2 linked regions of the Arabidopsis thaliana genome follow. The protein of the gene in region 2 interacts with the protein of the main gene of each other region in a pairwise test. Each region holds a gene or a part of one and is shown on either strand. Other genes may lie near its edges.

Region 1 (6,459 bases), on a different chromosome or scaffold from region 2:
ACAAGGCCCTTATCCTCTTGGAATGTGATCGAATCTTTGCGATGTCAAGAATCATACAAAATTTAGCTTTATTCCCAGATCGAATGATCGATTAATGATGAAATTTCGTGAGGATAAATATAGAAAAAAACGTTTTGCTTGAAAGTGGCCACGTAAAACACCATGCACATAAAGAGGAAAGAGATTATTCTGGAGATATTCCATGCGATCTCGAGTCTTCGCAAAGGAAGGAGATGCAGCTTTTAATCATGTGAAGGATATGTCAAAGGCCGGAATTTAATAAGAACTTTTGTAAGAGATATATACATCTTGTTTTTGCTTAGAAAAAGTTCTACTAAAAAGATGGTAATTCAATAACAAAGGTTATAATAGGTTATGACTCAAAAAAAAAAAAAAAAGGTTATGACTCGAATACTTTACATTCAAAAGTTAGAAGTAACTTTGAAATAACTAAGCATAGGCTCGAGTTACCACAAAATTTGGGAAAAATAACTATGCATATATAGGCTTGTCGAGTGCTGGGATGATCCTTTTTTTTTTTTTGGCTGGGATGATCCATAATCATTAAACAAAGTAAATATTGCATTGCTCATCATCCTCTTCCTTTATTATTTTTGTTTCAGAGATTTAGATTGAAGTTAAAGCCATAATGCTCCAGCAAGCTTATAGTATGCTCATCTAAGATTTATTAGTTACCCAATTAATTGAGAGTTACATTTTTTTTTAATTCTTTAGCTGCAAGATGCAAAGAGGCAAGAAGGATGAACCCTCCTTATTAGGCTCTAATTCTTTGAGATATTCCCACTATCTAAATTTTAATTTTGTGTGTATTTTTTATTTATTATTCGAGATATTTATTATGTCCTAAAGTTGATTCTCTTTGAAAAAGGCTACATTAGATTTAGACCCGTAATATGAAAGTTACGTACTTTAAAAAGCTATATATAAAGGACCCTTGGAGACCCTTCACTACATCAAACACAAACTCAAAATTATCTCTTATCTTCACCCAAAGATTATAAGCTCTCTACACTTTTTTGTAGTATAGTCTCTTATTTCAGTCAAAAGACACACATTTGCATCCTCCGTGAATCACTTTCTTCAGAAAATTTACAAAAACAATGGAGAACCTACAGAAGATGATCTCTGAGAAGTCGGTAGTAATTTTTAGCAAGAACTCATGCTGCATGTCTCATACAATTAAGACTCTCTTCTTAGACTTTGGCGTGAACCCGACTATCTATGAGCTCGACGAGATCAACATAGGAAGGGAGATAGAGCAAGCATTGGCTCAGCTCGGATGCAGCCCGACCGTTCCGGTGGTGTTCATTGGAGGGCAGCTTGTTGGTGGAGCCAATCAAGTCATGAGTCTCCATCTCAACCGCTCCCTTGTTCCTATGCTTAAACGTGCTGGAGCATTATGGCTTTAACTTCAAAATAAATGTAATTTCAAATATATAATGCAATTAAGTTACTATAATTAAAGTGAACAAAGAAAACATACACAAGAATGTATGTATGAGTTAATGCTATGTCTATCTAAGTTTTAAAAAGATAGATTATCCGGTTGCCTATTTTGTAAACACTGGTTCTATTATAATAAATTCAGCTACTCTTGGATTTCTCCTTTCCAATGTGCCCTCTATTTATATATTTCATGCATGCATAGATCTAAGATCACATGCGTCGACGTTATTGAAAATGTACGCATTTGCAAATAACTTTATTTCATGGTGTAAAGAGAAAGAACATATCTTATCATTATTTATTTTTCTTGTTTCCATTATTAATCGTGTTATTGTAAATAAAGCTTCTGTCTAATTTAATCGCAATTATTCAGATCGTTCTTATGGTGTTTAATCGATTCCTTCGTACAAATATATATTCAGAGACAACTTACTACTAAACATAATAGTTCGAATAACCAGATGTTTAACCTGTTAATTGATGGTTCGTTGAAAATCATATATATCAATTATAGAAAATAATACTATCTAATAAGAGATTTCCAGCATATACATATTTAAGTTTAGCTAAAGGCAGAAATATAAATACTTTCTTATATATGGTTTTATTGTTTTAATAGGTAATAGAATGTAAAGCCTTAATTATGGGAATTGGTTCATACGAGTAATTTCACATAATGGACTTAGAAAGATATCTAACTTTTTATAAAGAAAAATTCTTACACTAATAAGGGTTTGTTACAAGAAAAAAAAAGTTTATCTTAGGATTTAAATGTTAGGATCTGATGTTATTTACTTATTTAACTAGTTACAAGTAAAACTTTTGCTGCGGGCCTGCGGCTTTCGTAAATTAGTGATATGATCATATGAATGAAGCAGATCTGTGTCATCTGTCTATCTTTTTTTTTTTTAAACAATCTATCTTTAATTAAAGAAAATTTTGAATAGATGTAAACTAAATATTAAATTCTTCTCTATCCATTTAAGAAAGTTGTGGGCGTTATTGTTCAACATCATGGTAGAAAATGACGCTACTAACCATTAAAACAACAAAGTGTGTAAAGAATTGGATTCTACCATAAGAGGAACACGTTGCATTGTTACATATATTCCATGCTCTAGGACGGTACGGGCAAGTTGCAGAATAAGATGTGATTTGGCATATTACATAATGTATGTGTCGGTACATGAATCACGTACACTGAAAATGATGATAACCTTGTATTGTGATGTAACAATAAGTGACTCTTGAGATCGAAATGGGCCACCATTAATACTATTTTGAAGAGAAAAACAAAAAAAAAACTAATATTTTACATTTTTTGTATATTTTTGGTTTTAGGATATATATATACGTGGTTGCTTCACTATCATACTATCATATCCATCTTGTTGGGCACGAGCTTGAATTTCTAGCAATCTTATTCATCGAATAGGGAATAAAGTTCAATTTTGTTTTATTCTTTGACATTGCAAGATTCGATTTCATGCATGACGGTAAGGCTAAAACGGAACCACAAAGTTTGCCTTTTTCTCTCAAGTGGTTATAAAAAAACAATTCTTGAGATATTATCTCATACTCTCTCGAGTTTTCTCAAACACTGAAGCTTGCAACTCTTTTTGGCGTATCTAAAACTATGTCCAAGGCGTATCTAAAACTATGTCCAAGCTATCCAATGATTTTTACCCGATTTTCAGCAGAACACATACACTATGAAATACTATAAAGTATGATTGAAAGCATATTAGATATCGAAATATTTTTCCATATATCATGTACACATAACCGTTACAAAAAATAATTGCTATATTATTAATAATTTCTTATTAGACTCAAAAATACTGTAAGAAATATTTCAATTAATTTTGAATACTATATTAGTATAGTACACGAAATCCGATAATTTCAATTAACGACGACTTCACGATAACATGAAATCTTTTCGTATATAGGCGTCAAGACATTTATATGTCGATAATGTGTTGGATATTTTTGACGCATTCCTGACGACATATTTAGATTGAAAGTAACATTCTCAAAACCAAAAATTATTATCACAAGCCTAAATGAGCCAAAATGAAATCCGGAGTAAACACTATTAGCAATTTTCAACTTTATTTGAAACTAAAAACATATTTCGGAATTTTGAAATTTTATAAGTCAAACGAGTTTAGCAGAGATAAAACTCATTTCTGCTTTTTATCAGTGGTTTTCACAATGAAGGCCGTACTAATGAAACATGACATTATTCGTCCGTATCAATTATTCCTCATATATATCAAAGAGAGATTTTGTTTTCTGTACGTTTTACCAAATTAGTTGATAGTTTTATTCTTTAGCTGCAAGAGGGAAAAAGACTCAAAGAGTCAAGACGTGTGAACCGATAATATCCTCAGATTCTTTCGGAATACTTCGACTATCTTAATTTTCATCATTTAAAATTGTGTTCTTTTATTTCTTTACTTACAATTTGAGATATTTCATATTTGTGCTAAAGTTGATTCTCGTAGAAAAAGGCAACGTAATAAGAAAGGTTACGTACTTTAGAAAGCTATATATAAAGGACCTTACCCACTTCACTCCATCAAACACAAAAACACAGAGTCACTTCTCATTTTCACCCAAATATATCAATAATCTCTCTATAAGTTATCTAGTTTTCCCATATTCATCTCTAATCTAGCATTTTGACCAAACACACCTATTTTTCTCCTTTGCAAGACAGTTTTCAAATATCTATCACGTTATATTACTAATGGAGAATCTACAAAAGATGATCTCCGAGAAGTCGGTAGTGATCTTTAGCAAGAACTCTTGCTGCATGTCTCACACAATCAAGACTCTCTTCTTAGACCTTGGCGTGAACCCGACGATCTATGAACTCGATGAGATTAGCAGAGGAAAGGAGATAGAGCATGCATTGGCTCAGCTCGGGTGCAGCCCGACAGTGCCAGTGGTGTTCATAGGAGGGCAGCTTGTTGGTGGAGCCAATCAAGTCATGAGTCTCCATCTCAACCGCTCCCTTGTTCCAATGCTTAAGCGCGCTGGAGCTTTATGGCTTTGACTTCAAAATAAATGGAATTGCAAATGACTTAGGTTCTGAGAAACTTATTAATGTGAACAAAAAAAGGTAAAAAAAACATATACAAAAATGTATGTATGAGTTTATTACTATATATGTCTATCTATCTAAGTTTTCAAAAGATAGATTATGCGGTTACCTATTTTGTAAACATGCATCTAAGAGATATTTATATTTTATAATAAAAATCAGCAACATTTGGATTTCTCCTTTTTCCCAATTCATATTTATATAATTTTGTATACATATATGCATCTAGAAATGAATACACGTGCACTGAATATAGATGATTTTTTATGGTGTAAAGGAAAAAAGAAAGAATATATAACTATTTATGCAGAACATGCGCCAAGACATAATAATTAATTTAAAAATTTGAAGAAGGCATATTTTATAGGCTAAGAATATTGTATTTGTATCTGCCACAAATTAAAAAGCGATGACGAGTCTGAATCGTGTGTAATGTCAAGCCTTAACTTTTCAAACGAAATTCTTACAATGATATGCAACTGTTAATAAATGTTAGGCGTGATTGTCAACTGAATTAGCTAGTTACAACTTACAAGTGTAAAAATACAGGAGATTGCGTAAATTTGAGATATGGATCTTAGAACAACTCTATAATCAATTAAAGAAATTTAGAATTAAGGTAAATCAATCATTAAATTCTTCACTGTCTATCTACAGAAACATTGTTGAACATCATGATAAAAAATGACGTTTCTAACCATTAAAATAACAAAGTGTGTAAGGAATTGGATTCTGCCATATAAGGAAAATCTTTGCATTGTTACATATATTCCAATAATAGGACAGTACGAGCCAGTTGCGGAACTTGATGCGAATAGGCATCTTACATACATATAATGTGTCGGTACGTGAATCACGTAATGTTCAAATGATGATAACCTTGTATTGTGATATAAGAATAACGGCTCTTGAGATCAAAATTGGGCCACCAATAATCTTTTAGGAAGGAAGGAATGCAAAACTATGGCTTTAAAATTTTGTTGAGCCCCACGTGGCTGCTTCACTAATCAATCTTCTTGGCCACAAGCTTGAGATTTCAGAATTTCGTGGAATTGAGGATAAAGCTCTCTTTGATTCTTGATTCTTAACATTGTAAGATTCGATTTCATTCATGACGATAAGGCTAGAACGGAACCACATAGTTTTCCTTTCCCTCTCAAGTGGTCATACAAGAATATTATAATTCTTGAGATGCATTATATCTTGCGATTTCGAGTTTTCGCAAATTAAAGAATGAGAGGAGCTAGAAACTTTTTATGGCATATCTAAAACTATGTCAAAGGGACATGACATACATATGAAATTCTATTTCTTTATAGTATATACATATGAAATAAAAAGTTTTCATGATATTACGTATCCCATTTATGAGATATGGAAGTTAATCAAGAATTGGTTACTTCTCATCTCAGGTTTTCTTGTTAAGTCTTTTCTTTTTGTTCTCGATTCCTTGTCTTATCTCATGTAACCTTAATCCTTCACTCAAGTTATAAGGTGACTTAGATGACCAAAGACATGTGATTTACATAACTGAATTGTCTTTTGTTAATGTTCTATAGTAACTAGTTTTATTACAAATAGCACATTGTTTGTCAACACATGGAATTTACCACCCCGAGTCTTTAGAACAATATGGAAACTGCAAATTCATGCGGTTCTTATTGTGGGCTTCGACGATGTGGACAAATTCAAAAACTATTATTGTTTGCTCGATCATTCATGTAAACCAGGTGACAAGCTGACCTAATTCTATCATTTTTAGTTATATGGCTAACATATATAAACTTGGACTTTTTAGGACATGAGTTGGGAGATGTAGAATCCTGGTATTTACTTTAACTCAGTATTTATGATGATGGTTTTTCTAATTTCAGTTTGAG
Region 2 (10,163 bases):
ATGTTTTGTGTTTTGACAATATAGTTTATGTTCAGTATGGTTATTGTATTTTTTTCCTACTGCTCAATTATATATTCGGTTGTGTGTATAATTAAAGAACACGTATTTAAGGTAACGATAACATTGGTTATTCTACGGATTTATGGAATTAGGCGATATAATATGTATATTTCTGTAAGCATATGATTTTGAATGGTTGTTGATGTTTTTTTTTCTTATATAAAAACTATATCTTCTGTGGTGGGTATAAGTATGTGACACTTTATTTTCATAATGATATTTAGATTTAGTACTTGTATTTATTTTATTTATGCAATGCAATGTGGATATCTCAAGAATGTATATTAATTTGGACAGCAGGTAATTAAAATAACAATTATGAAATTCTAATGATGTATCATAAAATTGAAATTGAAATTAGTAAATGTGTTTGTCACAAATTTCTAAAAACAATATATGTTTGTAACATTAATAATTTTGTTAGAAACTTGGTAATTAACAAAGCCCATTACATTTACCTCTTTTGTTTAAAGCATACTGTTATTGAAGCCCAAATCTAAAACCGAAGCCCACTTAATTTTTTCCAGCCCAAACACTATTAACAGTTTTTACTGTTACCAACGTTGAGAAAAAAAACAAATTTGGATTCAGTTTTTTTTTTTTTGTCAATCACATTCCGATTCAATCTGAACCCAGCTTCTTCACAACACCATATCACTGATCGATTGACAATTATTTGCGATCAGGGTTTTGATTCAGTTTTTGTCCACTTCTCAATAGATGATGCTATAAATTGATGAAAGATTAGAACATCATATATTTATTGTTTTAATTCTGTTATTTAGCAATGACATATAAAGAGAGAAAATATTTTATGAAATTAAAGCCATTAAAAACATTATCGAGACATATCCGAAGGAAGTAGTATTGAATCAAGTATCTAGAACTAAACATTCTAGAGTAAACAAAATTTCTGAAGAGAGTAGTCACTGAATCAAGTATCTAATTTACTTCTTGTATAGTACATTAATAAGTGTATCTTGTTCTTTGCTAAAGGAACTCACTTACATTTCCAACAGTATAAATAGTATAGGCAAAACATCCAGTTATATATGTTAAAACAAGGAAACCAAACCCAACAAGTTTATAATCTGAAACATCCACACAAGCGTAATGAGTCGATGGTATAATAGAGACATCAATTGTTTGCAAAGCCAGAGGTCGAAACGTATAACCTGGGCATATAAGGGCATACAAAACAATTTCAAATTGTCATTTATCACAGGAAAGCCTGAGATTCAGAGCTAAAGAGAAGGGGAAAAAAAAAAAAAAACCACCTAATAAAAGAGAGATGACAAGCACACAACATGAGACATTCCTCAAAAAAAGTTATGATCCCACAATAGTCTATACTCCACATCATGTCCTGTATTTAACAATCACAAAACCTCAAACTAATCTAGAACTTGAATTCTCAATTGCAACTAGGCCTGGGCAAAATACCCGAACCTGAAGAATCAAACCAAACCCGACCCAAAAAATCCGATTCGAATCCGAACCCAAAATTTTAAAATACCCGAATGGATCCTAAACTTCAAAACCCAAAAACCAGATCCGAACCTGAACCCGATCAAGTACCCGAACATATCCAAAATATATATATAACAAATAATTTATCAATAATAATCATATCTACAAGTCTACAACAACTTAAATGCCTAAAATATTTGGATTTTAAGTTATTTTGTATATTTTTAGGTATTTTACCTACTTTTAGATAAATTCGGATAGAAAATAATCAAGTTTTTATAAATTTTTGAATAGTTTCAAGTAATTTTAACCTATTTTGATATAAAAGTTTTGAGTTTTGGATACTCCTGATAAACCCGAATCCGAACCCAAAAAACCCGATCCGAACCCGAAGTCTTAAAATACCCGAACGGGTCTTAGATTTCTAAATCCGAAAAACCCGACCCGAATATCTGAACGCCCAAACCTAATTGCAACTTTCACATATTTTAGAAACTAAAGCAGATATCATAGCCATTGTCATCACATTGCCTCAACAAATTTGTTTTGCCAAATTTTGGATAGTAACTCAAAGATTATCGCACTCAAGAGTTTAAGAAAACTTCCCCAAAGTGATCTTCCTTACAAACACATAATCACGATACAAATAGATCTAACCATCAAGCAGAAGACCAAAAACAACAGAATCAACAAGCAAACCAAGACCATGAAAGTATAAATTGATTAAACTCAGAGAAACAATTAACCAAAAGAAACTCATGTTAAGAATGTTGGATGTGGCTTACTTAAGTATGGTAGTTGTGTTGTTTAGTTCATGAAGACCTTGTAACCAAAAGAACAACTTCATGATATTAACCAAATCCAAAGACTGAACACAAAAATATCTTCCTCTAGACCTTGGACTAAAGAGTTAGTAGAAGCAGCAGGTAATATACACATTTTCATTGTGGAACAACTATACCTTGTTCAAAGTTTTAAAATGGTTTCGACCCGTGGAATGTTTCACTAACTTGAAAATTCAATTACTAAATAAAAGGGAAAAAACCAAAAAAAAACCTCAACTAAATTTTATTTGGACGTTTAAGACCCAATTGTTTTTTGTTGGAAGGTAAATACACGAAGTAATAAAACCGTGCAATTTAATACACAAACAATTAATTATTGCTATTTTAATACTCACGATCTCATAACAAAAATAAAATTCCAAATTTACCCTTACCATCTCAATTAACTATTATTTTTTTAATAATATAATTTTAATTTTATAATTTTGAATAAAAATTAATTTTATTAACATTTTAGTTAATGGTTTCACTAACTTGTAAATTCAATTACTAAATAAAAGGCAGCAAGAAATGGAAAGATAATTGCTACATTTATAACTCTACTTGTAAAAATTCTGTCATCACTAAGGTCAACAAAGAAACGAATACATAATCGAAAAAGAAAAAGAAAAGAAGAAACAGAGTAAACAAAAGTCAAACTATGCTTTGCTTACTCGTTGAACATTTGCCTAATACAACAGCTTCACTGAACCAAACAGTATGGTTTTTGCGTGTTAATAGTCCTTCATAAAACTCCACAATCTTCGCTGATACAACAACTCTTACACTTGGTCTCAATCTGAAAAGTGAAACCATCTTTCTCTTACAGGGTCACTGAAATCAATTGGTTCCTGCTCCGATGTGAAGCAGCTCCTCGGGGATTGCAGCTGGATCTAAGTCCCAACAGTTTTCGGGAAAGCCGCTGGTTGCATCTTTAAGAAACCAAGACGGCACTTGATGTGAAAACCGCAACATTTCACACCTTGGTATCCACTTCTTACTGTCCTCCCTTGTGCTCCTGTGATACACGGTTTTGTAGCCCTCTAATTTAACAAGAGGGGTAACGCACACACCATACTGTTCAGTATACTCATCAAGAATCTCGACCATTTCATATTGGTGCCTCACTTCGTCCGGTGTTGATCCGTCCCAGTTCAGTGACCAGTTCTTGTAGACGGCCCAAATCTCCCCAGCTGTGGGGAAGATTCGAACACAACCACCTCTCCCTGTCTTCTTGCCTTTTAAAAGATGCGAAAAGATGTTAACATGGTCTACTATGTCAGAGTTTCGTATCCTGAAATGTCCACACGACTTTGTAAACCCATATTGTACCCATTTCATTGACCCAAACTCGATGTCGGTTTTAGAGCTTAAGTAGGCAATGTCAATCTTAAAGGGTTGAACTGAGAGTACTTCCCTCACCACACAATATAGGCGTGGCATACCATCATCTTCATCATAAATTGCCCATATTTGCCTTGGCTCAAAGGATTCCTCCGATCTGTTTTTATCAAAGTCATGGAAATCAGAGTCTGGAACTGTTATTGGCCCGTTAGTTTTGCGCCCTGTAACATCTCCCAACTTACAGGAGAGAACAGTTTTTTCATCAAGGGGTGTTGCATCCTCTGCAGCCGCTGCTGCCTCTAAAGCCAATCTCATCATCTCCAATCTTTGCTTGATATCTGTTCTGGCCTTTTGAATTAAGGGCTTCCGTGTATCCAATACTGATGCAGCAGACCAACGTCTAGTTGAACTTTGGATATGAAGTTTGTAATCCTGATCCATTTTGGCATCTGTATTCGCTGTCTTTGATACTGAAACAGATCTCAGAGGGTTCTCAACAAATCCATTAGCAGCAGCTTCCATAAAAACTTTGCTTTTCTTCCCAGGTCTGCCGACCTTATTTGCACTCGCGTGAGCAGACATGCTGATCTGATTAGGATATATCAGACCACCTGGTGTGCTTTTCTTCGAGCATGTCCCATTAGAACCATCTTTGACTTTATTTATTCCCCCGCTGACTACTGAGTTGCTGTGCTTATAAGGATACCCATTAGACACTGAGGACACACGCTTCAAATCCAGATTCCCTGGGGAGGTTGTTGTTCCAGAGTACGAGCTCCATTCATATGAACCATTCGTACTATAATCATATCCATGTCCTTGCCCAGGATAGTGGCCTAAGAAATACGTGGAATTGGTGGGCATGCGTGACATAGCATCATAACCATGTGCACCATAGCCATTACTCGGAGGCGCATGAGATGGAGGCGCATGAGAGGGAGGCGCATGGGATGGAGGCGTGTAATGAAATGGTGCACTAACAGGAGCTGGACCAGTTTCTACAGCAATAAATGCTCCACGACAGTTCTTACATGAAAGCCTCTTATTCACATACTTCCTCAGATACTCATACTGAACTTTGCAAGAGGTGCATACAGTCCAGAAAGTATCAAGCCTTTCTGAAGATGGTGGAAACCGATCAAATACTGCAGTCCCCGTCCCAGTCCCAGTCCCAGGCATGTACTCTGTGCTATGCTTCTGAACCTCAGTGGAGTCAATATGCTTCTTTCTTTTGTAATAAAAAGTGCTTTTATTAAACTCATTAGACAAGAAACTCCAAGCTTCAGATATGAGATGAAATGCACCATCAGCTCCAATGCATTTGTTCTTATCAGGATGAAGCAATACAGCCATCTTCTTATACTGTTTCTTCACTTCTCTTTTCCCCGCAGACGGTTTCAGTCCAAGTACCGCGTAATAATCAATCTGACCACCGCTTCGAGTCTGAGAAGCTAAATAAACTTCAAACGTCGCAACCATCTGAGATAAACCTTCCAAATCAGGAAACAAAGACTTCGCTTTCAACGCATAACTCCTAGCGCTTGTGAAATCTTTCTCCGCAAATCTCCTCTCAGCGATCTGTTTCACTCTGAGAGCTTCCTCTCTGTAAGCTTCCATGTAGAAAGAAACCAACACAATATATGACAGCTCTACAAAAGGAAACTAACACCGTTCCCGCAAGCATTCCATATTCAAGCACCAAAAGATCATCATTATCTGCAAACAAACATTCACAAGAACAACATTAATTCTTTTTGAGTCACTACAAATGCAAACCAATACCTAACCAACCACACATACTCAAACAAACCCATACTTACTAACTTACAACAACCATCCTAAGATTCGAGATCTAGAATCTCCAAGTTCAGATTTTTTTTTGACAAAATCGCTAACTTTATATCACAAAGACATAGAGAATTATACAAAACTAGATTTAGATAGTCAAAAAGTAGCTTAATTTTATCTCCATTTTGAACAAATTTCACCAAAAAGTCAGATTCAAGCTATCAACTTCATAAGACAAAACCCAACTCAAAAGGATTAAACTTTAAATCCCAACTCAAAGTTTACTAATTTCTTCAATAAACAACAATGACAAAAACCAAAAACCTAAAATTTCAATAAATGAAATAAACTGAGAATCGAAGTTAGCGATCTTACTGATAAATTGGGGAAAATTACAAACACAGCTTCAAAAATAGATCTCTGAAACTTCTTCTTCCTCCAGAGATTGAGTAGATCAAATCGGAAGTAAACAAAAAGCACGAATCTTTAGGCAAAGATTTGGAATCAAGAACACAGCTTTAATAACTACAGTAACTTTAGGGTTTTAGGGTTTCAGTGAATTCAGGTAATCGGCGATTCAGGCATCGAGAATGAATCGCCGGAAAACACCGTCGAGAATTTCGGGGAAAAAAAAAATGGAAGCTAAAATAAAAATTTGTTTTTTTTTTTGTTAAGTAAAATAATTTTGGAGTGAAAGTAAACGGTGCTAATTTGTTAATAGTGGTTATCTCGACTCTGATATATGCCATAATAATTTTATTATATAAAGTATGGTTTTAAAAATTACTAACTCATAAGATTATGTCATGTGTCAAGTCTATCGATCGGATGTTGACACATATAAAAAAATAATTAACTTTTTTCTTTTTAAAGAAATAGAAATACTAAAAAAGAAATCAATTAAATTTTTTCTTCTTAAAGAAATAGAAAACTAAAAAATAAATCATTATTAACATATACTAATTCATATATTTATATATATGTAAAATATATTACATTTTATTTTTCTTAACCAAAAGGAAAATTAACCAAAAATATTTATATATGTTATTGGTCAAAATTTTAATATGTATGGTATTAACAAATTTTTTATTATTATTAATTATGTTTTGTTAATTGTTAATAATTTTTAATATTAACTAAGATATAGATTTGATCTCATATATATATTATTTTGACATGAAATCATTATCAAGTAAGATGAAGTGTGTAGAATTAAAATCGAGTTTTTTATGAAATAGATAGTTAAATTGTATTACAAAATTGAATATGTAAGATAAAAATTTATTCTTTTCTTCTAAATACTAAATTATAATATAAAAAAAGTGTGTAGGTTACTATTTAGACTTCAAATATCATCAATAAGATTGAATGGGTATAATAAAATAAAATGCATAAGACTACTATTTTACTATTCAAAATTATATATCAAGAACAATGTATAGATTATTATTTTATTATTCAAAATTTAAATATTATAGATAAAAAATTACAGTTACATTTTACACCCGCCTATTTAGGCGGGCTTTATCTAGTATCATAATAATAATTTGTTAATAGTGTAATATATGAATATGGGTTAAAATAATAGTTTCATAAAGTTATAGAAAAATTCAACTTTAATAATTGTTAACAAAATAATAATATTTGTAAACACCATCCAGTTAACCTATGAGGTTATGACTCATGAAGATTCATTTAAGAATTTTCACACTTATTAAAAAAATTATTAATATTTGTTTTTTTCTATTTTCTAATAATTATACATTTCTCATTTTGTTCACAGTTCTAAATAATTATAAACTGATACTTTTTTTATGTCACTATCGTGTGATTGGATGTTGGAAAGTATGTAACAATTGCATAGTTGGGTTTTTTGCCAATGTAAATGTAAGTTGTTAGGGATCTAGTGGCACGCTTTGTGGCTGTGCCTATTCCAAAACTAACTGCTAGTCCAAACATCTTACTTTGGGAACGCAGTTAAGATGTCTTTTTAAACCTCATTTCTTCTTCTCCAAAATTTAAGAACAGATCAGAAAAAAATGTCTCGAGTAGAAAGAATTGTATAGTATTGTTTTGTTTAGCCGAAAGTGTTTTCGCTTGTCTTTACTCTTTGTACATATTTCTTGGATCAAAATTTTTTAACCCTACACTCTTTACCATAATATTCATAATAATTTCAGTTCTCTAGATTTTTGGCCAGTCAAATTAGCATTTCGAACTATAATCTATTACTTATGACGTGAATGCAATGGTCGAGACACTAGAAAGACCCGATATCAACCTAAAACATCGATAATGAAACACAATAGTTTCAAACTTTTGAGAAACATAAATCCATGAAGTAAATCAAAGGTTGCTAGAGTAGTCGTTAAACTTGCTTCTATAACATTGATTTCATTGCTCATGTCAGTGTCTTTCATATCTGGAAACAGAGAAACAATTTGTTTACTCTCACTTGATTTGAATGCAATGGTCGAAACACCATAAACACCATAAACACAATAGTTTTAAATTTTTGAAAAACATAAGTCCATGGACTAAATCAAAAGTTGTTAGAGTAGTCGTTAAACTTGCTTCTATAACATTTTATTTCATTATGCCATAAACATCAAACCATTTACACCTAACATCTCTCATATAATTTTAATAAGAAAATGTCATAAAAATATATAATTTACTTCTTTTTGACTAAAAAAACTTTAACTATTCCATTAGATAAAATAAATTTCCAATTTTATGTTGATTAAGTCATTTTATTTTCCTTTTAAAGCAATAATAACGAGTTAAAATTATTGACTAACAACGGAGATAAAATAGTAAGTTCAATATAAAATTGAAAATTTTTTTATCTAATAAAATAGTTTGAAAGCTTTTTCGTTAAATAAGTTTGGAATTGTTTTTAAAATTCTTTATTTTTTCTTTTTTTGAACAAAATTCTTTTCTTTTTCAAAACAACCCAAACACAGCATAAAATGCTACGCGCTTGCCGACAAAAAAAAGCAAAGAAACGCTTTTACGAAACATGTCAAGTCTAATTAGTCTAATAATTGTATGTTGTTCTTTGCTAAAGGAACTCACTTACATTTCCAACAGTATAAATAGTATAGGCAAAACATCCAGTTATATATGTTAAAACAAGGAAACCAAACCCAACAAGTTTATAATCTGAAACATCCACAAGCGTAATGAGTCTATGGTATAATAGAGACATCAATTGTTTGCGAAGCCAGAGGTCGAAACGTATAACCTGGGCATATAAGGGCATACAAAACAATTTCAAATTGCCATTTATCACAGGAAAGCCTGAGATTCAGAGCTAAAGAGAAGGGGAAAAAAAAAAAAAAAACACCTAATAAAAGAGAGATGACAAGCACACAACATGAGACATTCCTCAAAAAAAGTTATGATCCCACAATAGTCTATACTCCACATCATGTCCTGTATTTAACAATCACAAAACCTCAAACTAATCTAGAACTTGAATTCTCAATTGCAACTAGGCCTGGGCAAAATACCCGAACCTGAAAAATCAAACCAAACCCGACCCAAAAAATCCGATTCGAATCCGAACCCGAAATTTTAAAATACCCGAATGGATCTTAAACTTCAAAACCCGAAAACCCGATCCGTACCTGAACCCCATCAAGTACCCGAATATATCCGAAATATATATATATATATATATATATATATATACAAATAATTTATCAATAATAATCATATATACAACAACTTAAATGCCTAAAATATTTGGATTTTAAGTTATTTTGTATATTTTTAGGTATTTTACCTACTTTTAGATAAATTCAGATAGAAAATAATCAAGTTTTTTTATAAATTTTTGTGTAGTTTCAAGTAATTTTAACATATTTTGATATAAAAGTTTTGAGTTTTGGATACTGCGGATAAACCCGAATCCGAACCCGAAGTCTTAAAATACCCAAACGGATCTTAGATTTCTAAATCCGAAATACCCAAATCCAAAATACCCGACCCAAACCCGACCTGAATATCCGAACGCCCAGACCTAATTGCAACTTTCACATATTTTAGAAACTAAAGCAGACATCATAGCCATTGTCATCACATTGCCTCAACAAATTTCTTTTGCCAAATTTTGGATAGTAACTCGGAATCATTGACTACTAGTATTAGACCCGTACGGAGAAAAATAACTTTAAAGACGAAGATGTAAGAGATTAAACATGAACTATTAACACAAAGTCACTACCTAGAGCCATATACAAATGGATCATCTTCAAATTCTTTTGTTGTTGTCAGTTTATCTTTCAGTATGTCGTCTTTGTTATGAAGCCATCTCCATGGAAACTCCATATACTTGATAGCATCGTCTTTTCAGTGACATTTAGTGCTTAAACGTTTGAATAACGTTTTTGAATTATTTGTCTCCCTTTTGTCGTAATTGTTGTAGCCCGTAGTCACCTACCTTCAAAAGAGAAACATGTATAGACGGATAATAGAGATGGATTAAAGAAATGAGAGATAGTATACAAAAGTCAGCTATATTTTTTAAATCCTTACACAAATATTGAATGCAAAACAGTGTAATGCAAAATCATAATCAAGTAATTTGTTACAAAACATTATAGTAGAAAAAAAAGTTTGCACTTGAGTAACCCGATTTTAAAGATACATAAGTCACGTACTTCGTAA

Evidence for each region.
Region 1: the proteins of AT2G05230 (region 2) and AT4G15700 interact in a two-hybrid assay, tested with the Arabidopsis thaliana proteins (one large-scale study listed by BioGRID).

Annotation. Positions count from the first base shown.
Region 1 is NC_003075.7:8,933,323-8,939,781, forward strand, and holds AT4G15700 (Thioredoxin superfamily protein), read left to right. Parts: upstream 1-4,035; 5' UTR 4,036-4,222; coding exon 4,223-4,531; 3' UTR 4,532-4,802; downstream 4,803-6,459. Other genes in the region: AT4G15690 (Thioredoxin superfamily protein), read left to right, coding at 1,122-1,430.
Region 2 is NC_003071.7:1,896,624-1,906,786, forward strand, and holds AT2G05230 (DNAJ heat shock N-terminal domain-containing protein), read right to left. Parts: upstream 6,203-10,163; 5' UTR 5,862-6,202; intron 5,415-5,861; 5' UTR 5,316-5,414; coding exon 3,195-5,315; 3' UTR 2,845-3,194; downstream 1-2,844.